Nothobranchius furzeri: one gene and its partners. The protein of the gene in region 1 interacts with the protein of each later gene in a biochemical or structural test. Links are inferred from orthologs where the notes say so. Each region holds a gene or a part of one and is shown in the gene's direction. Other genes may lie near its edges. The genes, in order: dlg3, cript and gda.

Region 1 (8,660 bases):
AGAGCAGTCACACAGCTTCTCTGAGAAATGCCTCGAAATGACTGAAAAAAAATCAATGCTCGGCCTGTGCAGCGGTTGGGCGTGTAATGCTCATTATGATTACATGAGTGTGTTTGTGTGAGTGAGTTAGTGTGTGTGTGTGTGTGTGTGTGTGTGTGTGTGTGTGTGTGTGTGTGTGTGTGTGTGTGTGTGTGTGTGTGTGTGTGTGTGTGTGTGTGTGTGTGTGTTACAGAATGTCCAGGTGGGTTTATGTAATAGGGGACTGTGTGCAGGCTGATGCTGAGCTGATAGTGTTGGGAGAGCTGTGAGGTGGGATGTAGAGAAGCATTTCTGTTTAAATGCACAAGAGGGTTTCTTCATATGAGCATCTTTTTTATTTACCTCCAGGTTTTTATGTACACAGATTATATGTATTATCATATTATATAAATAATTTATCAGCGATGATCAGTCAATTAATCAGACATTAATCTCATATTACAGTTTCTATATTGATATGAGTAAAGTGAAGATCAGCTGATGTTTGTGTCACTACTACAGAAAGGAAATTAATTTTACCTCCTAAAACTACCAACTGAGATTGAGTAATGACAAATTTTTTAAATATGAATTATTAGAACAAGAAGATGATGATCTAAGATAATCAGATGTCTTTATCAGGACTGTTGCTAATAATGCAAATGTGAACAATCAGGATTTAGCAGTAAAAATGATATTTATGCCTTATTGTCCAAATCTATAGGGAGCCCAAGTCACGCCCATCTACTTCCGCACCATGGGTCCCCGGAAGTAAGAAAAAATGAATTGTAAGTAAATGGGTCTATAAAAGCAATTTTCTGATCCCGTTTGATACGTGCCATGGATTTCACCGTGAAATTTAAAGACACGTTTTGATGCCAAGAAAGTGCTTTTTTTGTGCTTATTTTCAAACAGCGCCAAAAGTTATTTTAGATTTAGTGCAAGAAGACAAGAAAAGATGTAATAATGATGAAAATCTTTTTCTCATTTTGCATCCCATGTGGAAAATCTAGGGGTGTTTCTGCAAGAATCTGGTGGTACGCTAATCTGTCACAATCCAGGGGAGACGATACGACTTATTGTGCAGGGTATCCGCGGGTCCTTAAAAAGTCTTAAATTTGTTTTACCAAATTTAAGGCCTTAAAAATCCTTAAAAATGACAAATAATCCTTAAATACAGTTTCCAAAGGTCTTAAATGTCCAAAGACCCAATAAACAAGATTCTTTTATTTCTATAAAATTTTCATAAATTTCTAGTTGGTGTTCAGCATTTTTTGTGTATGATATTGGCGTAAGCGGAACAATACACATTCAGTTGGTTGCGAAAGGGGGCTATTTTTAGATGAGCACATTGGCTGGTTAAGCTAGTGGGCGCTTGCGCCATGGGGAAGTGGAAGTTTAATCGTAACTGGATGGCTAATTCCACGTTGGCGACATGGTTAGCACTGGTTCCAGGCAATAGCTGGAAATTTTAGCTTAAATTTAATTTTTAAAAATTGCTTAAATTTGGTCAAAATGGCCTTAAAAAGGTCTTAAAAAGTCTTAAATTTAGCTCACTTAAACCTGCAGATACCCTGTTGTGATATTAAAAGTTGGACAATACAAATTTTAAGACTGAACTTATTTTGAAAACTCAGGCCAGAGCTTCCAAGACACATCTAGTGTTATCTCAAGATCTCTTCTTCTGGCAGAAGGAAGACTGTAAAAACTGCTGCCACCTAGCTGTCAGAGTTAGAATTGCACCATGCAAAAGAAGTGCATTAAATGTTTGCATGTAAATTCTCAATAAAAAATCTACAGTGCTTTTAAATATTGATTCAGTATCATTACAGAAAGTATCACAATATTTCATTCTATCAGTACCTTTTTACATCCCCAGGAGTCATTTATGCTTGTCCCTTTGCAAGGAGAAAGATTTGCTAGCTACCTAGCATTAGAGTAAAGTCGCCTTCTAAGAAATGATTAAATTGTCCTTTGTAGCTAATGTAAATTGGTTATAAGTATTTATGGTATGATATTTTCTTCTTTCCTGTAGATTAACTATTGCCATTATGCAGCTGAAGTGTTAACCCATCTGTTCTCATGCAGTGGAGAGGTTGTTTCTTTGTCTTCCGTTCTACAGATCCATACTTTAGATTTATGACGATTCAGGTTTTTTGTCCCTCCTGATTGCACCGTTTTATAAATACGATTTGAGGAGTTTAGAAGAAGCCCAGTGTGGTTTGGAGGAGTGGATGTGATCGTGTGTGCTCGGATCACTATGCTTACATTCGTTCCTCCAAGCTCCGCCTCACTTCTCTCATTGACTTTAGAAGGGATTGTGGCTGCATCCTGGGGCATTCATATATTATTTTCTGGATTCTTTTATAAAGGACATATTTGCCTCGTTTTTTTCCTTTTTGCCCAGAAAATCTCTGTAGGTTTGAGTGAAATATCATTAAAATGAAGTGAGTTACTGTTGCATGTAATTAAGTGTGGCTGAGCCTGCTGTGTGAGCCTCCTGGTAGGGTTGCAACACGATGCAGTGTGCTCTTGTTTTAGGATCCCGCGCAGTTTGACAAGAACCTTGCTCAGATCTCATACGTCAGTTATTTATTTTTTTGTTAAATGCTTGTTGATCCAAAAACTGCATATGTTCACTTCAAGCCTGTAACGAAACAACATTTGTAAATGCTGTGTTTCTCATGAAGACACACCCAGCTCTGTCTTCCCATCACATTTCATTAATAATGCATACATACAGGGCTTTAATGGCGACACTGTAACATTCTCCATCCGTTCTCTATAAAGATGAACCTCTCTGTCGGGATGTTTTGTACCTAGTTGTGATCAACCCACAAATTCATAGGAATGCAAAATGGCTCTCGGGCAGTCCTCACACTCTGCTGAAAATATAACTGCCACAGATACACGAAAGCCATATAGACTCCCCTTCTCTGTTTTCCCTTCACACTTTCTCATTCTTAATCTCTTCCTCCACCCACTCGAAAGCCTAAGCGGGTAATCTTATTGGTTTGGTACACATGTGTTGATGTCATCATTGTGAACATGAAATAACTCCCCTATGGTTCCTAAACGAGGTTTCAGAGGGACAGTATTGTCCCACTGTGCTTATTTTGACCAGGTTCTGCACATGGGCAGTGAAATAATTCAGCAGCAGAGCTGCTTTGCCGGCAGTCAAGGAAATATGAAGAATGATGCAAATCACAGTGTGATTAAAAGGCACCCTCTGCCAAGAGGCAGGACTAGTGATGGCTGGGATAACAAGGGGCTTTAAACTGATGAGTATGAGCTTATTTACTTAGGTGTGCTTTGACACAGAGCACAAGGTTTGGGAACTGATGGCACAAGAAAGATGGAGATTCTTCTGCAGTGCTAGAGATTATCAGGGATTTGATCAGTGATCCGTTATTGTAAATTGGATTTCAGCTGCAGTGTTGTGATGGCATAACATGATTTAGACTCACGTGTCAGCTTTAGCTCCTGTTATTGAGATGCTGCTAAACTTATTTTTCTTTAAAAACAAATCTAACCACATGGGCAGTTTTTATATGGCATAATTAGTCGAGAAGTGCCATCTCACTGAAGCTAGGCAGCAGTGAGATGTGCATGTCGCTGCCCCTTTAAGAGCAGCTAGTGAAGCGCTCAGTTCTGTTGGTGCTGCTGCTGATGGCAGCGCTGCAAGTTGATTGGCTGTGGCTGTCAGGGCTGAGCTGCTAGAGGGATGCTGCTACGTATCCTCCCCCTCCCCCCTCGCTGCCCCCCCCCTCTCTCCACCTCCCTCTTGCTTGCTCACATCCCTCTGAATAATCCACATCTAGGGCAAGCTGACTGAGAGGCGATCCAGTGCTCAGCTCCTCTCTGCAGGCTGAGAAAAAGAGACAGAGAGCGAAAGGCAACGATTTTCAACGCAGGAGGAAAAACGTGACGTTTTTGACGGAACAGGAAGATAACAAGAATCAAAAGAGGAAGATTTTCATCCGCGGATATCATTTATTTATACATCTTGTTTATATATCTCTCTATATATTTGTACACACACATATAGATATTTATATATAAACATTTATCCTTGTACATATCTGTATTTGTGCTTGTCCGTTTATATTAATATTTTTATATGTAGTTGTGTGTGTAAATATATATGATATATAAACAAAAGAATCTCTCTCTATATATCTATGAATTTATATGCGTATCACTGTGAACCAAGAGAAGCAAGAAGACATTTCTATCATCAGGGCTGGTCTCTGATTGCGTGGTGGCAAACAATATCTTAAACATTTCCTTTGATCTTCTACGTCAGAGGACAAAGACTACGTGCTCATTTTGTATTTTTGTTTTCCTGTTGCTGCTTCCCATTCCTCTGAAATTCTTTTTTTTTCTTACATTGAAGAGGAGTAAAGTGGAAATTGGCAGGATCGGACGAAGAAGGGAAAATCTGAAGCAATTCCTGTGATTAGTGTTATTTCCATCGGCATTAACGCTCTTTGAGCTGATCGCAGAGTGCTGTGTGAAATCCTAGGAGGACGCAGAGACAGAGTGCCACGCCGCTCTTCTCAACATCAGCCTAGCCAGCACAGCCAGCATGCACAAACACCACCACTGCTGCAAGTGCCCAGAATGTTATGAGGTGACCCGGATGGCAGCTCTACGTAGGATGGACGCCCCAGCGTACGGAGGTGAATGGCAGGCAGAGCCCTATGGATACCCACCTGGGTATGGAGGAGGCCAGACCTTACCCCCTCCAGCCTCAGGAGGGGGTGGAAGCATGGGAGGAGGAGGGGGCACTTTGGGGAGAAGTAAGGGCAAGATGTCTGGTGGGGGCCCTGGATGCCCTAACCCAAAGGGCCAATCCAAAGGGGGCCCCAAAGTAAATGGCAACAACTCCACTGGACAAGCAGGATGGTGGCCCGAGTGCACCTGTACCAACCGGGAGTGGTATGATCAGGTAACTCTTCCACTTCGCTCTTATTTTCTCAAGCATGTGATGCTTAATGGAGGGGGCGGGGCCTGAACTGAGATAAGTTAGTCATAGTAAAGAAAAAAGATATATTGATCATGTATCAGCTGTGTATTTTAATGAAACTTTAGAAATTTTGTATTAATCTCAAGTTTTCTCATTCTGCATTTGTTGTCTGTGGTTCCTCTGTTGGAACAGGACTGATCTGGTTTCACTGCATGCGCGCACACACACACACACACACACACACACACACACACACACACACACACACACACACACACACACACACACACACACACACACACGGCGACGATGTTTGGGACTGATGCAGATGACTAATGCTTATAGATTTAACACACCTAGTGTATGTCGTCAAAGGCCTATGCTGATGCAGTAACCATAGGCCTAAAATGTCCTTATATTGACGCGGCACAGTGATGCAGTTTGCGTTTTCCCCTCAAACCAGCAAATTCTTACGTTGCTGTCCGACTATAAACCTAAATGTAGGAATTTGATTCCTTCTTGATCGACTGAATGAAGGATTGTGTCGCATAAGCAATGAGCAGAAGAAGAGATAATAAAATCGATGGTCTATATAAGAGTTGTTTTAGACTAGCCTTTTTGAACAAACATAGCACTATAGGATGCTGTCTAATACAAACCTGTTTTCAAACACTGCCCTTCTTACATGTTGCACAGTGTGAATGAAACAGCCTTTTTCATTTTTTTATTGGCACCATTTTGTTTCTGTTAACGCCATTTATTTACATGTCGTTGGAAATTACAGTTGAGAAAAGGTCAGGACAGCTTCAGAAGCTGTCTTTAATTAAGCAAGGTGCACATATGTGAGAATGAGAGCGATCTTGGGTGGGGGATGGGCAGTTCGTACGGCATGAGATCCAAGGAATGGTTCTTGCTGTGCACGAGTAAGTGTTTATGCAGCCTTGCATTAGCAATGAGTGATGCAGCATCATTGCATGCGCCGTTTTCATTTGTGCTCGATTGTGTTTTTGGACAGAAAAATAAGAACAGGGAAGGTGAGAAGAAAATGGAGAGGGAGAGTTCCTCCTAAGATGAGCTCTCGTATGAGCCGCAACCGCTCTGATATTAGCAGACTACCGCTGCCAAAGAATGCTTTCAGTGAAAAGGGAAAAGGAGAAAACATTGATGCCTTTTTTAGTTTGTATTTCATTACAGCTGCATCGAATCCAGTCAGACGTAACTCATGTTTCACACATTTGAAGCTTGCAGCAGATGTGATTATGTAAGCAGTTATTGCTTACATGAAGGTTTTAGTCTCCCAACAGGACTACCCCCTTTTTTCTGCCACTCATTTGCAGAATATGTGTTAATTAATTATTATATTATAAAAATCAGTAGCTGTTAAATGGACTCCCATCTTTAGCCTGCGTAACGATTCCTCCAAGGGTCGTATGTTTTCCTGAAATTGTTTTAATATATCGACGTCCTTTTAAATGATCTTTTCTACCTTGTTCAATGTGCATGTTCACCCCCGTCAAATCTGTGTGGGGGAAACGTACAGCCTGCCCTTCGAGCCTCAAGTACAGCTGAATCTTCAGCTTTACTGTGGAGGTAAAAGAGCTTGAATTGAATATGAGAAGTCAGGGATGGGGCAGAGGTTCAGTGGGGGAAAAATGCAAAGGTTGAAAAGGAGACAAATAAACCAATAAAGGCAGGAAGCGGCCTTAAAGAGGGGGAGGGGGTTATGTAAGAAGAGGCAGTTGGTGATGCTGTCAGTGAGAGAAGCTGGAGAGGCACTGACACTATGGGGAAGCATCTGTCTGTCCATCTTTTAAATCAGCCATGTCAATGACCAGCATGCGCCCCTCCCACCTTCCCGTGAACATGATGGCGTAGCTGGAAATACACATCCTCAATCACTGCCACCTTTTTGGTTCTTAGTTATCATTGCTCGTTCTAGTTGGGAAATGTGAATCCCACCCTTCCTCCCACTACCTTCACACAGCTGGACAGTGATCACACACACGCCCCATCACGCATCATCTTTACGCTTTCATAACTAACCAGCCTTTTGGATGTTAGCAGGGTGAAATTCAGAGTGATCAGAGCTAGCCTCTATAGCAGCATCACTAATGTGAAATGGCTCTGTAGCGGTGAACATTTCACTCTTGTGTGAGGAAATCATTAGACGGCCCCATACAAATGAACTCCTATCCCCCGTCATCTATTTACAAAGTGGTTGTACTGCTTTTGTCATGAGCTTGCTGGGTTAATTGTGGTTGATTTCAGCTGGGATTATAAGAGCTTTCTTTTAAAACAAAAGCTTTTGAATTTAAATCTGAGAAAAGTAGAGACCTCAGTCTACTGGGATCATCCATCAGAAAGCTCCCTTTTTCCCCGGCGGGCTCCAATCTGTCTTTGTCTGTTCTCCAACTCTGTGGCTATGATTAGCTTTAAATATTAATTGGATTTTATTTTATTTATTAGCGTCAATATTGGGTCCAAGATGCTCTGCCAGAGCTACTGTTTACTGCTGTACTAGCAGAGGCTTAAAAGCATGCAGAGACACAGTGGGCGTTCCTCACTTAACACTCCCATAGGTGATTATGACATGAAAGCCTCCGTGTGTGTGTGTGTAAGTGTGTTAATAGTTACACAACAGTGTATTGTACGTTTGAATGATGAGGTTTTTTTTCTAGGTTAGATTTAATTTGCTATTCTCCTAGCAGCCTTCCAGAGAGTTTCAATGTATTGGATCTACAAGTTCTACATGTTCAAATGTCTCGAGCTGGAATCCCAACCTGTAATCCTTACAGGAGCCATTCAAAACCAGCAGCATTCTAACTAGTTCTTAAAAGATTTATCGGAGAGTGTTTCTTAGATGTATAGTATATTATCAGAATCAACGTGCAGTCGTAACGGTACAGAATCGTCTGTGTGAACAGCAAGCCGCTGCAGATTTTAAATTTATGAACATTTTTACAATCATGATTTTCAAACCTGAACCACAATTGAATTCCAACTAGAGGTCATTCAGTCTCAAGTCACATGAATTTTAAAAGAAAATTGTTATGAAGCCTGGGCAAATCTCATAATATGCAAATAATCATCAGCATCATAATTTCCAAAATTAGCAGATAACAGTAAAGGTCCAAACCTACAAAAAGATTAATATTATAGTACTACAACTTCACAATCAACAGCTTCTTGAAGACGAAACTATGCATATTACCTGCACGAGACTGAAGAATATCATAGTGCTACAAGGCAGCTTTTGTTCTCCAATGTCATCATCCTTCAAAACTGCAACTTGCCTGGAGTATTCAGGCGTTTCTAGTATCACATACTTTGATGCAACAGAAAGCAAGTTGCTGCAGCATCAACACACACTTTAAGGATTTTATGGGGGGGAATTGTGGTGAATTGTCTGGCAGTCAGAAAATTGTAGATGTTTAGAAAAGAGCTGCTGTCCTTGAACGAGAACTTTTTTATTTTTATTTTTTTACCTTTTTTGGTAGAATCTGAAGGTCCTAAACCATGTTTCTGAAAAAGATTTTATACTGCAAAGTTTTAGTTTGTTGAATTTAATAATGTCAATATTTTGATGCAGAAAAAGCTTTATCATTCAAGTAGTTTCTTGACCTAATACATTTAGAGGAAACACATTATTCCCTGTCCTCAGCTAAGCTCAGTC
Region 2 (8,660 bases), on another chromosome or scaffold:
GAGAAAAGTGAAAATATCCAGTGAGCAGCAATCGTGTAGATGCAAATGTGTTGTCGTCAGAGGAGAATGGTCAGACTGGTTGGAGATGATGGAAAGAAAACAGCAGCTCAAAAGTCCACTGGTTCCAATCAGAGTCTTGTTGTTGACCACAGTGGACCCATCTGCTTCCAGCAGGATAACGCAGCATGTCACAAAGCTCAGATCAGCTCTAGTTCCAACAATATTTTCATTTCATGCAAAGAGCAACAACATATTTTCTGGATGCTGATACTGCACTTATTGGGGTCATAACATTTTCAGTATGTCTTTTTATTTGTGTTGCAAGCCCTTAAACACACTCAATATTTAAAATAACACTTGCAAATTGGATCACACATCAGCGTGATTCAGATTCCCTTCTCATCAGTAACTAAATGAGAAAAAGCAAAAACTCAAGAACATTTTTAAAAGGAAAGTTAAGACTCATGTTGATTTTGCAAAGATAAAATAAAGGGAATTGTTTAAAAAAATTGTATTTAAGAAAGTTTGATCTCAAATTAAAAAAATAAAATTAAAATAAAAGCTCAATCATGTACATGTGGGTTTTCTATGCGAGCTGCTGACCTGCCAGGGCCTGTCCCAGTCCAAAGGAATTGGAAATGCTCCAACCCAGGCTCCTATCAGGGTGCAGGCCACTGTGATCTGCAGGCAGGTGTCCCACACTGACATGGCTCTGAGGACAGGGACAGATCAAGAGTAAAGTGTGGGAATGGGATGGAAAGATGATGACAGGAGAGTTTTGGCTTACCCATGCCGACTGAACACTCGTATCCAGGTCTGAACGTTAGGGCCAAGAACACAGAGGCACCTCAGCGTGGTCAGTGAGGTCAGGAGGACAGAAAGTGAAAATGTCTCTAAAGCAGATCTAAAAAGTATAAAGTTAAACACAAGCTGTGTCAGCTAAGTAAAACCGAAGAAGAGAAGCACTGCTGTAGATAAATCTAGAGTGAAAACAAGCTCTAAATACACTGTTTAACAATGTGTGTGTGTGTGTGTTACTTGAGCAGAATCAGCTACTCACTCTATCAATGGAGCTCCATAGAGAACCACCACCGTGTAGAAGAACAAACACGACAGGAAGAAGTACAAACAGGAGCGAGACAGCCTGGACAGCTGAGGACAGAAAGACATGATCGGATTAAAAACTAAATGTTTTGGGATGAAAACTAAAATCTTAGAGCATTTGAGAATGTGAATGTGAGGGATGGGTTCAAAAAATATGTGACCAACAATAAATTATAGAGAAGTTGATCATTTAAGCATGTAAAGAAGCACATCTTGCAAAATATAAAGATTATTTATTTGTCAATTCAACACACGTTAAACATGAGGTTCATTATTACAGCCTAAAACGTAGTAACTACAGTAGTAAAAAACATTTATAGCAAAATAATATCAAAATAGTAGTAAAATATAACAAGTCATAATAAACAAAGTGAAATAATTAATATTGTGTAAAAAAATACATTTCCTAACTTACAACTTTGGTTTGATATACTAAGATGTTTTAATGAAATAGTAACAGCTTCTAAATCCAAGACCATGCTCTTGAGTAGCCTTCTCCGGGTCAGGGATGAGGTCCCGCCTCAAGTGGAGGAGTTTAAGTATTTCGAGGTCTTTTTCACGAGTGAGGGAAAGCTGGAGCGTGAGATCGATAGGCGGATTGGTGCTACGTCTGCAGTGCAGCGGGCGTTGTACCGATCTGTCGTGGTGGAGAGAGCTGAGCTGGAAGGCGAGTTTACCAGTCGATCTACGTTCCTCCCCTCATCTATGGTCACGGGATTTGGGTAGTGACCGAAAGAACGAGATCACATATACAAGCGGCTGAAATGAGTTTTCTCCACTGGGGATCGGGTGAGAAGCTCGGTCATCCAGGAGGGGTTCGGAGTTAGACCAGCTGCTCCTCCACATCGAGACAAACCAGTTGAGGTGGCTTGGGCATCTAGTTAGGATGTCTCATGGACGCCTCCTGGTGAGGTTTACTGGGCACTTCAAACTGGGAGGAGACCCAAAAGAAGATCCAGGACACGCTGGAGGGTCTCTTGGATGGCCAGGGAACGCCTTTGGATTCTGCTCCTTCCAGATTTCTTTGTTTTCACCTTTTTGTCACGCCAAAATGTTTCAGATCAGCAAACACATTTTCAATATCGGACAAAGATAACCTGGGAAATTAAATGTTTAATTTATTAACAAAAATAGTCTAAACCAACCTGGAAACGCACTGTCCAAAATGGAATAATTTGCTACAAGTCTTAAGGATTATTCTTTTTTTAACAAATGTGAGAGGGTCCTTTATGTTCTTCTTTGTCAGCTGAGGTCGTCATCATAGGACTCTCACATGGAGGCCATTTTTGTTTCCCATCTCTTTTTATTATTAAATCCTGAAGTCTGACCTCGACATTAACCAAGTGAGACCTGATGTGTTGCTTCTTGAGATTTTTTTGCCTGCTTTATGAGACATGTTCTCTGAAGTCATTTCTAGAAGAGGCAAATGAACAAAACGTAATTCACGATTTAACAAAGGTGGAGGTACTTCCTTTGTTTCTTTGTACGCTTTGAGGTGACTTATGTTGTGAACTGGCGCTTTATGAAAAAATTAAATTTATTTGCCTCAAAGCAAGAATGCTGCAGGTTCGAATCCTGCCTGCATGGCCTTTCTGCGTGGAGTTAGGATGTTCTCCCCATGCTTGTGTGGCCCTTCTCCAGTAACTTGCTTCCTCCCATGGACCAGACACATCCATGAAAAGGGTTCAATAATGACTCTAAATAGTCTCTAGGTGGGAGAGTGTATGTTTGAATGGTTGTTTGTCCTTCTATATGACTGGAGACCTGTCCAGAATGTCCCCTAGCTCTCATCTGATGATGATTAGCGCTAAAGATGAGCCGTTTAGATCATGGATGAACCGAATTAAAATGAAATGAAACTCGGATGGTTTTGTTAGCTCTCTTCCCTTCATAAAGGACATAATCCTTTGAAAACTGCATTTAGTTTAGTTTACTCAAGTTCTCTTTGCCTGATGTTGAAATTTGTTTGATCTGAACCATTTAAGTGGGACAAAAAATTAAACAAATAATATATGAAATGTGTTAAGAGACAATTACTTTTTTCACACCTAAATAAAATAGATCATAACAAGAAACGCTTACAATTTCTACTTTTTCATCACCTCACCTTACAATATCCAAAACTTACCTTCATTTTCACACATCTATTAAATTTAATTAAAAAGCAAGTTGACTGATGTCCATTTCCCTGTCCAAATAATAATAATATTAATAATAACAAACGAATACATTTTGTAAAATTCATAAGATACCTTCACATATCACATAATACATTTATATGTCGAACATAATCAACAATTCACTTTAAAAACATTATCTAGTTGTTTTGGCACCTTGTATCCCAGTGTGTGCTTTTTGGTGGGCGGTGAGATGCCGAGCAGCCAGAAGATAGCGACGCTGACACAGGTCACCGTACCGGACACCGCGTAGACCCACAGCAGGTGAGTCCCATACACTGAGAAGCCCGGGACAAACACCGCGGGGATGACCGTGGCCATGAACACCGAGGCGGTGATAATCGCGTGAGTAGACGCCATAGCTTTAATTTCATGGTCCCACATGATGAAGACGTGAACTATTTACAACAAGAACCCGATAACGATGCGGGGAAGTCAAATAAAACACCTAAAAAACGTAAGGTAACATTGGGAAACTGTCAGGTCTATGTATTTCTTTTCCGCGTTTCCGTAAACACGAAGACGTAAGAACGTCCGCTTAATTTCACAGTAAAAGTCTACTGCGCACAGACATCTTAGGTGAATGATGAAAAAACATCCGTTTCGAAACATATTATCATAGATTATCGGGTCAGTTTATTTCAATTTCAAGTGAAAAAGGTGTATGTTTTACTTGTTACTCAATCTCTGCTAATGAATACGCTTGGGTTAAATAAGGTAAAAGTGCTTGACTTTATCAAACATTTATTTTGAAGAACCTATAAGCAAATAAACGGGAAGTAGTAAGTTATAGTTCGCGTTGCGTAACTCAATTGTTTTAACCAATCACAGAAGATGTTACTCGTTAAAGCAACCAATGAAACCTGTCATTTGAAATGCCTCAGCTGACCGGACGTTTACATTAGCAAAGCAAGCTAAAGCTAACAAACGATCATTTCTACTGCGTCATTCGACACACCGCAAAGATGGTCTGTGAAAAGTGTATGTATGTCATTTGCTTCTGATTTTCAGACGTATTGTTCATTTTAAAATCTGATGAACGTTACTTTTGTCAGCGAAAGTCTCAAATGCAAACTAGAAGGCCAATAGTTTAGTTCTTATTGTATTTTCCTCCATAATTGTTTTGTTTTATATTTTAGGCGAGAAGAAACTGGGAAAAGTAATTACCCCCGACACTTGGAAGGACGGAGCACGGAATACAACAGGTGACCCGAGGAATGCGTAGTGAAATGTTTTTTTGCCATCAGTATGATAAATTGCTGTTTGTTAATTATTCTAGATATGAGACTTGTTGTCTTGTTTACAAGTTACTTTTGAAAATGTAATCATTGTTTCTATATTTTTTCACGTTACTAGCAGGTTTAGTCCTCATTTGGTTGATCACGCCATAATATAAATTAATTGGTGTTTATTTTTTTTATATTAGTATAGGTATAGTAACATTTAGATGTCCGTGTTTAACAAGTTTGTCTTCTTTCTTTGTGTCAGAGAGTGGAGGACGTAAGCTAAATGAGAACAAGATTTTGACATCCAAAAAAGCCAGGTGAGTAAAAACAATTTATAGAAAAAAATAAACTTTAATTACAACAATCTAATGAATGTAAATACAAATATGAGAAGTCAGAGAAAATATTCTAAACGCATTAATATACTTATCTTAAAATTACCTTCTTGAAATTGAACCAAAAACTGTTATTTTACTAAAGTTCAACCTTATCATATAAAACTTTCTCACCACCATATTTGCTTGGGCATACATTTTGCTGCATTGGCACAAATCACCACATGAATCATCATTAATCATCTGTCCTTAGTATTTTACTTTATGAACCACGTTTAAATCCTGATCTTCTTCATTTCTTGCAATCATAACAGTTGATTTTTACATCATAGCTGGAACACACTCTTAAGTAACTGTTGCAAACCTGCTCTGAAGAGTAAAAGACCATCAAATCTTCAGCAGTCATGAGATGATTGGTCATTATTTCCCCATTCATCCACTCTTATGCTCTCTTAGTTAAATAAAACTTAGATCGTCCATATACAAGTTAAAGGGAATAGGTGACAATATCTGGTGAACCTTATTAGTAACAGAAAAGGAGTAGCTCTCATTTGGTTTTTAGTCTGATTGTAAGATTTGTATAGAATATGAGGTGACACCTTGTTCTTAAATCTTCCTAAAAAGCCCATCATAATGAACTCTTATCTGAACTATTCCTCAGAAGAAGTCACACAACGGTTTAGCTACTGTTTTTCAATGTTGTATATTACTAATTCAAAGTGGTCAGCTGATATAACTGGTCATGTGTGTAACAATTATTTTCATCAGGTTTGACCCTTACAGCAAGACTGGCTTCGCAATCTGCAGGATCTGCAAAAGCTCAGTTCATCAGGCTGGATCTCACTACTGCCAGGGCTGCGCTTACAAGAAAGGTATGAAGTGATTGTGCTGAAGATTTAGTTTTGTGTCACAAAAACGCTACAGCATTTCTATTAGCCCTTTTACATAAAACACACACACACATGCTCTCTATTCAACACCCTGCTGAGTTTTTCACATGTAATCATGTCACCAACAACATTATCCTTTTCCTCTGAGACAAATCCATCTGCATCCTATAGGAAAACGTGACAGTAACTGGGACGAGTTGTGAAACTGCAATGTTTGTCTGTTGTTGAACAATTCAACTTGTGACTTTTCTGCTCAGATGTTTTCATTTTTCAGTGTGTCTTAGTGTCAGAATCCGGAGAAAATTACAGCCTCACATCAACAGAGACTGTACTTGCATAATCTAGAGCCATTCTCGATAGGTTTGTTTGAATACAGTGTGTTTGTACTGTATTTAGGCTGAATGATGAAATGTAAACAGGGCTTTATCTAAAAAGGCATATCTTGATGAACATTGAAGCAAACTGTCTTAGTTGCAGGAAATGAAAGAGTGGAGTGGCCATGTTTCAGATGGTTCATCAAACATGGAAGATGCTCAGTGAAACAAATCATCTTTATAGTTTGCTGAAGTTTTCTTTTTTATTATAATGATTTCAAGGCCTACGTGTCCCATTGAACCTGCTGCCTTTGGTATGTCTTCATGATGATGCCTAGGTAGACTCACAATTAGGAATAGGGCTGCACGATATTAGAAAAACCTGCGATATTCGATAACAGTGTTTAATATTGCGATATCGATATTACTCACGATAAATGAACAAATACTAAAGTATGCAGTGTTGATGTCGTCTGGCGTGTGACGTCTGCTCTGGGTTCAAAGCAAACAAAACTAATGCATGAATTCCATTACAACATAACATTTTTATTGCAAAAATATGCAGCTGCACCTGCTACTGTATTAGTAGCAAAACAATAAACTGCATGCATGCAGTTTCTCAGTGACTTTAAAACATCACCTCCACCATAAAACTTTTTCTGATGCTCCAAATGCAGAAAAACATCCCTTACCAGGGTTTTTGAATAAATAAAAAAATATCAGAAAATAAGTTTAAATGTTAAATAATAGTTAACATCACTTAAATGGAACAGCAAATTCTCTCATTGCTACTGAGCATTTTCTCCACTTATGTGGTTATGATATAAGGCTGTTGCTGCTATTGGGAAGTGAACTGTGCTGGGCCAAACTAGGAGAATATTAAGATTTTCTGAGGGAAAGAGAAAAACAATTGTCTACCTTTCAGAAGAGGAACTGGCAAAAAACTACATGGAAAATATGTGAAAACGTTTGTTTTTAACCCCAAATTGAACAAGTTTACCTAGATCTTAAAATGCAGCTCAGATGATGAAACTGCAACTATGATTCTGATAACAAGCTAACAAATTGAACTAAGATAACTGGCTAGCAAAGCTTCTGATTGACAGTTTATGTGCAGCAGCAAATCAACTATCCTGATTAACAAGGTTATAAAAGCTCATAAATGAAAAATCACTTTGATGTGTGGGGGAACTTTTCCAGGCCCTTTTTAGCAGGGTGGGACTGGGAGGAGAGTGCTGTTGCCTTTTAGCTGGAAGCTAACCGGCGCCTGGGGCTAACATCACCACCCGGTGGAATAGTGAGAGAATGGCCCTGTATAAGTATGCAGACGACATGGCACTGGTGGCATCAGTCGGAGGACCTGTCTAAATATCAGCAGGCGGTCAGCAATCTGGTCCAGACATTTGAAGACTTTCACCTGGGGCTGAATATCTCAAAAACTAAAGAAATGTGCTGTGGGGCAGCCAGTGAGGCAGACACATCCCTGTTCAAACCCCTCAGCATACAGGGTCAGCCTGTGGAGCAGGTTCAGTCATTCAGGTATCTGGGAACAGAAATTGATGACCACCTGTCCTTTGCAAATCACAGCAACAGTGTCTACAAGAAAGCGCTGCAAAGACTCCACCTGCTAAGGAAGCTAAGAGCACTCAATGTGAACAAGGACATCCTAACAATTGTATACAAATAACTGATTGAATCCATTCTAACTTTAAATATTACAGCTTGGTATAACTTTCTTGCAGTTAATAACAAAACACAACTCTCTCGCATTGTTAAACTAGGCAGCAAAATTACAGGCTCACCTCAGATCCCACTTTCTGTTCTTCACGAGCGAGCAGTGCACAGGAAGGCAACCCTGATCAGTGCAGACTCAACCCATCCATTGAACCCACATTTTCAGCTACTTCCATCAGGAAGGAGGCACAGAGTTCCATTGGCCAAGAAAGGTGTCTATAAGAAATCATTTGTTCCCACCGCAATTACAATTTTGAAGTCTTAAAATTTTTTTTTTTTACGATAACATTTTAATACCTTTTAATTGTCTTTTATATATTTGTGTGAATGCGATATGGATTGTATTGTAAGGTGAGCCATGTCAAAGGCGAATTTCTGCCTCAATTCGAGGTGGACAATGAAGTTTATCTATCTAACACTAGCGATATGGAGGTAGGTGGGTTGGTTCACCGGCACGTGTCAGCCCGGTTACTATCAGCTGCTTAACAACACCGTGCGGACTCACGTTTGAAAGCAGCGCTGATTCCAGAAACCTCAGCACAAAGTGCGTTCGTTAATCTGAGCCAGCATGACGAACAAGGGAACGGCGCCGCTAACTCAGTTTGGGTGTTGCGTTCCACCCTTCCTAAGGGTCTATATAGGGGGCGGGCGTATTACGTGAACGGACCCATCTGATTGGCCGCATATCAGAAGGGCTACATTTGATTGGTCAAATAAAACTTCCGTGTAAAAAACAGAGCTGGTTTACAAAAAGTTGATGTATGACACAGATGGAAATGTTTGAACCAAACATTTATCGCTGTTTTTGACGTGCTTTGCGATGGGCCTATCGCACGTCCTGTTATCCCGATGACGATAAGTTTTCGATATATTGTGCAGC
Region 3 (3,600 bases), on another chromosome or scaffold:
TGTCTTGACCAGGACCACACCCCTAAATGCATTGAAGCAGCTGCCATGTGATTGGTTGATTAGATAATTGCATTAAGGAGAAGTTGAACAGGCGTTTCTAATAATCCTTCAGGTGAATGTACATATGTCAAGACATGGTTTTATTCTTTTATTACGGTTTTAATGTTATATAATTGCCGAATAAAATTAAAAAAAAACTTGCTATAAAGTTGTTTTATTAGCATTAGCTAATACAAATAATTTTTAAAACTAGATTTATAATTATCTCATGTTTCAGGCATGCCACATCCATAAATGTTACTGTTTCATTCATAAACAGAAATAAGCTTTAATCCATGTCATGGTCATAAAACCAAAAATTATTCTGTTTTATTTTTCATTTGGTTATTGGTGTGTGTGTGCGTGCGTGCGTGTTTACATTATTAATATAATTTTAAAGTGAAAGTACAATTCTGACTAGTAAAAGCTTTGAACACTTTTGGGTAGTAAAACGATAGATTCCTGTAGGGTACATATCCCTTTGTACTGGGCTTATTTGTTGCAATATATTTTTTAATTAGTTAAATCTAAAAAAAAAAACGATAACACCTCGGTGTTTTGAAACACAACAATATTAAACATCAAAATCACCAATTTAGCATCATTACATTAATCTAAAAGCATATTAAAAACAAAAGAAAATATCACAATTTCACCACAGGATTATATTAAATTATAAATAAATGTTAAGTAATAACATTATTTCTTTATTTTCCATGTTATTAAGCCTTATTTCAGTTGTTCTGACAGCCTTTTTTCTCATCCTGACCTGAGTCCATAAAATGTTTATTTTCTTGTATGATGTCATCTTAAAGAATTCATGTTTTCATCTGTCATGTGATCCTGATAAAATCAAGAACGAACTTTATCCGTTTTTTTTCATCATCGTGGCGTGTGTTAGTCATGGAGGTTCTCATCACTTTGAAACACTCATGACTGAAACATCATGTGTTTTTACACATGATGCTTAATAATAATCTTGTAATTTCAGTCATTAATGTTTTCTTGTTAACTCGTGAGTTTGTAAATAAGTTCTGGAAATAAAAACTGCTTATTTCATAAACAAAAAAAATTAATGGGCCTTAAAAATAAAAATGAACATGTTTTTTGATACAACATGAAGATTAGTGTAAAGCTGTGTTTTGGTTTTAAGCTGTTTTCATTTCATCTGTGAACTTGGCGTACCTTTTCTGCTCGCGCGCGCACACACACACACACACACACACACACACCTCACCCATCCTCTAATCTGATTGGCTGCGTACCGGCTCTGCGGTCAGGTGGAGGCGCCCTCTAGTGGACGGTGATCAGGAAGATAAAAGCCGCGTTTTATTGCAGCAGGTATCTCACCGCAACATATCACACTGCTGTAGTAATGGACTCCTCCGTCAGGTCCTGCTCCGCTGTTGCGTTTGTCTACAGGGGGACATTTGTCCACTCGACGCCTCAGACACCGCTCCAGATCCTAGAAGATGCGCTCCTGGGAGTGGACACCCGAGGAAAGGTTTGACAAACTCCTCTAATTTGATCGGGTTTATTTACAGTTTATGTTTTCTTTTTCAAATTGACAACTGAATAAATGATCTGATAAAACGAAGGCAATGAAAAGTTATAAACTTATAATATTTTATCTTGAGTTGTTTCCCGGTGACTTGATCATTTGCGCTTTTATTATAATAAATTCTCATTCAGCAATTTCCGTGAAACTATTCTTTACTAAAGAAAAACAATTTATTCATTATGTAACCCAGACAAACAGGTTAGTGTTATTATTTAACATAAAACATAAAAAGAAATGTTTTAATTTATATATATGATTTTCTTTATATGTGACAGTCCTTGTGACATTTATATATATCCACTTTAGACAAAAAAAAAACCTTCTTACATTTTTGTTAGGTGTTGTAAAATAAACCTATTGAATAAAATTATAACAGAATGCAGAAATACAGGAACTTTTTGGTAAATATCAATACAGGAAGAGGGTGAGGTTTTCTGGTTAAAAGCTTGACACATGTTATAAATACATCTAATTACCTCTTTCTGTCATCAGATTGCTTTTATTGACAAAGGAGGAGAGTTACAGGATTTGTCTCAGACCTTTGGATTCAGTCCATCTAAAGTCATCCAACTGGAGGATCAGTAAGAGAATGAATTATGACACACTAGACGGGTCAAGTCAGAGATTAACTTAATTAAATCCTTATGAGACAAATAAACACATTTACACACCTTTTTTTTTTGTTTTTGTTTTTTTGCTGTGTTACAGTGAGTTCTTCATGCCTGGGATGGTGGACACACACATTCATGCCTCCCAGTACAGCTATGCTGGCACAGCCCTAGACATGCCTTTGCTGCAGTGGCTCAACACCTACACCTTTCCTGTGGAGTCCCGTTTCAAGGACTTACAGTTTGCCCATAACGTCTACACACAAGTAGTGGTGAGCAGGATGCAGAATTTTTACCCCAAGTTCACAATTTAGTGACACCATTGGTTTAACCCTCCCACTGTCTTAATGGGTGTGACCCCACGAGGAAAGGTGGCCATTGAGCATGGTTGATGGTTTATCCCTTGGGTCCATGTGGCAGGGGGGAGGAGTGAGCACCACCTCACCCCTGCCACATGGACCTCAAGGGATAAACCATCAATCCTGCTCAATGGTCAACTTTCCTCGCGGGTCACCCATAAAGACAGTGGGAGGGTTAAAGTTTGAAATGAAGTGGTCTTCCTGTAATGTAAGCTTGTGTTTTACAGAAAAGAACCCTAAGAAATGGAACAACTACAGCCTGTTACTTTGCTACTATTCACACGGATTCTTCTCTTCTGCTGGGGAGGATTGCACGTACGAAGTTGCACACGCACACATGCACAGGGAAACACTGTAATTCAAATCAGCCTTTCAATGCAGAAAACAAGAATAACATTTCGTTAAACAGCATATTTGAGCTCATGATTCAGGATTGATTCACAGCAGAAAGCTGACTTTTCTCCTAATTTGCATGACTGCAGCATCTATACCCCACCTTTTCTTTTTTTTTAGCTAAACATACATTTTCCATTAAAATCAAGTTGATTGTTTTGGATGTTTTTTTTTTTTTTGCATAACTTCTCATCTTGCAGAACAAGAAAATCTATCCTCTTTAGCTGACTTAACACAAAAATGCTCTTTCTATTCATGGGATTATTCAATTCAATTCAAAAAATACTTTATTAATCCCAGAGGGAAATTGATGATGTCATGCCCGAAATCCTTTAGATCAGCAGATAAAAATGTGATCAAGCCGTCACATGTTTGGCTTGATTCTGAAAGAGGAACATATCAGATATTTGAGCTTTATTTTATTTTTACCAACTGTTCCTCTGGACTCAGCAGAAATGTGCTGAAAAGCAGAGCAGCCTTTTACCTTTATGCCTTGTTCTTATCATCTCACTGTCTTGTTGCATAACGCCGAACGCAGGCTCACATAAATGAGTAACGGTGAAAACGCGGAATCGTACATGAGGTTTTGCAGCCTCACTCGGTCATTTTATGTAATCGTGGTCACTGAACCCTTAACTTT

Evidence for each region.
Region 2: the proteins of dlg3 (region 1) and cript form a complex in vitro, tested with the Homo sapiens proteins (2 studies listed by BioGRID and IntAct, with this or other methods). The link is inferred for Nothobranchius furzeri from reciprocal best matches to the Homo sapiens genes DLG3 and CRIPT.
Region 3: the proteins of dlg3 (region 1) and gda form a complex in vitro, tested with the Homo sapiens proteins (2 studies listed by BioGRID and IntAct, with this or other methods). The link is inferred for Nothobranchius furzeri from reciprocal best matches to the Homo sapiens genes DLG3 and GDA.

The regions. Positions count from the first base shown.
Region 1 is NC_091741.1:84,157,770-84,166,429, forward strand, and holds the start of dlg3 (disks large homolog 3), read left to right. Parts: upstream 1-3,801; 5' UTR 3,802-4,606; coding exon 4,607-4,969; intron 4,970-8,660. UniProt on the Homo sapiens protein: Required for learning most likely through its role in synaptic plasticity following NMDA receptor signaling.
Region 2 is NC_091756.1:43,770,834-43,779,493, reverse strand, and holds the start of cript (cysteine-rich PDZ-binding protein), read left to right. Parts: upstream 1-4,105; 5' UTR 4,106-4,246; coding exon 4,247-4,262; intron 4,263-4,420; coding exon 4,421-4,486; intron 4,487-4,769; coding exon 4,770-4,824; intron 4,825-5,610; coding exon 5,611-5,714; intron 5,715-8,660. Other genes in the region: pigf (phosphatidylinositol-glycan biosynthesis class F protein), read right to left, coding at 604-712, 788-904, 1,061-1,152, 3,438-3,665. UniProt on the Homo sapiens protein: As a component of the minor spliceosome, involved in the splicing of U12-type introns in pre-mRNAs. Involved in the cytoskeletal anchoring of DLG4 in excitatory synapses.
Region 3 is NC_091757.1:40,759,138-40,762,737, reverse strand, and holds the start of gda (guanine deaminase), read left to right. Parts: upstream 1-1,357; 5' UTR 1,358-1,414; coding exon 1,415-1,543; intron 1,544-2,092; coding exon 2,093-2,181; intron 2,182-2,308; coding exon 2,309-2,480; intron 2,481-2,794; coding exon 2,795-2,882; intron 2,883-3,600. UniProt on the Homo sapiens protein: Catalyzes the hydrolytic deamination of guanine, producing xanthine and ammonia.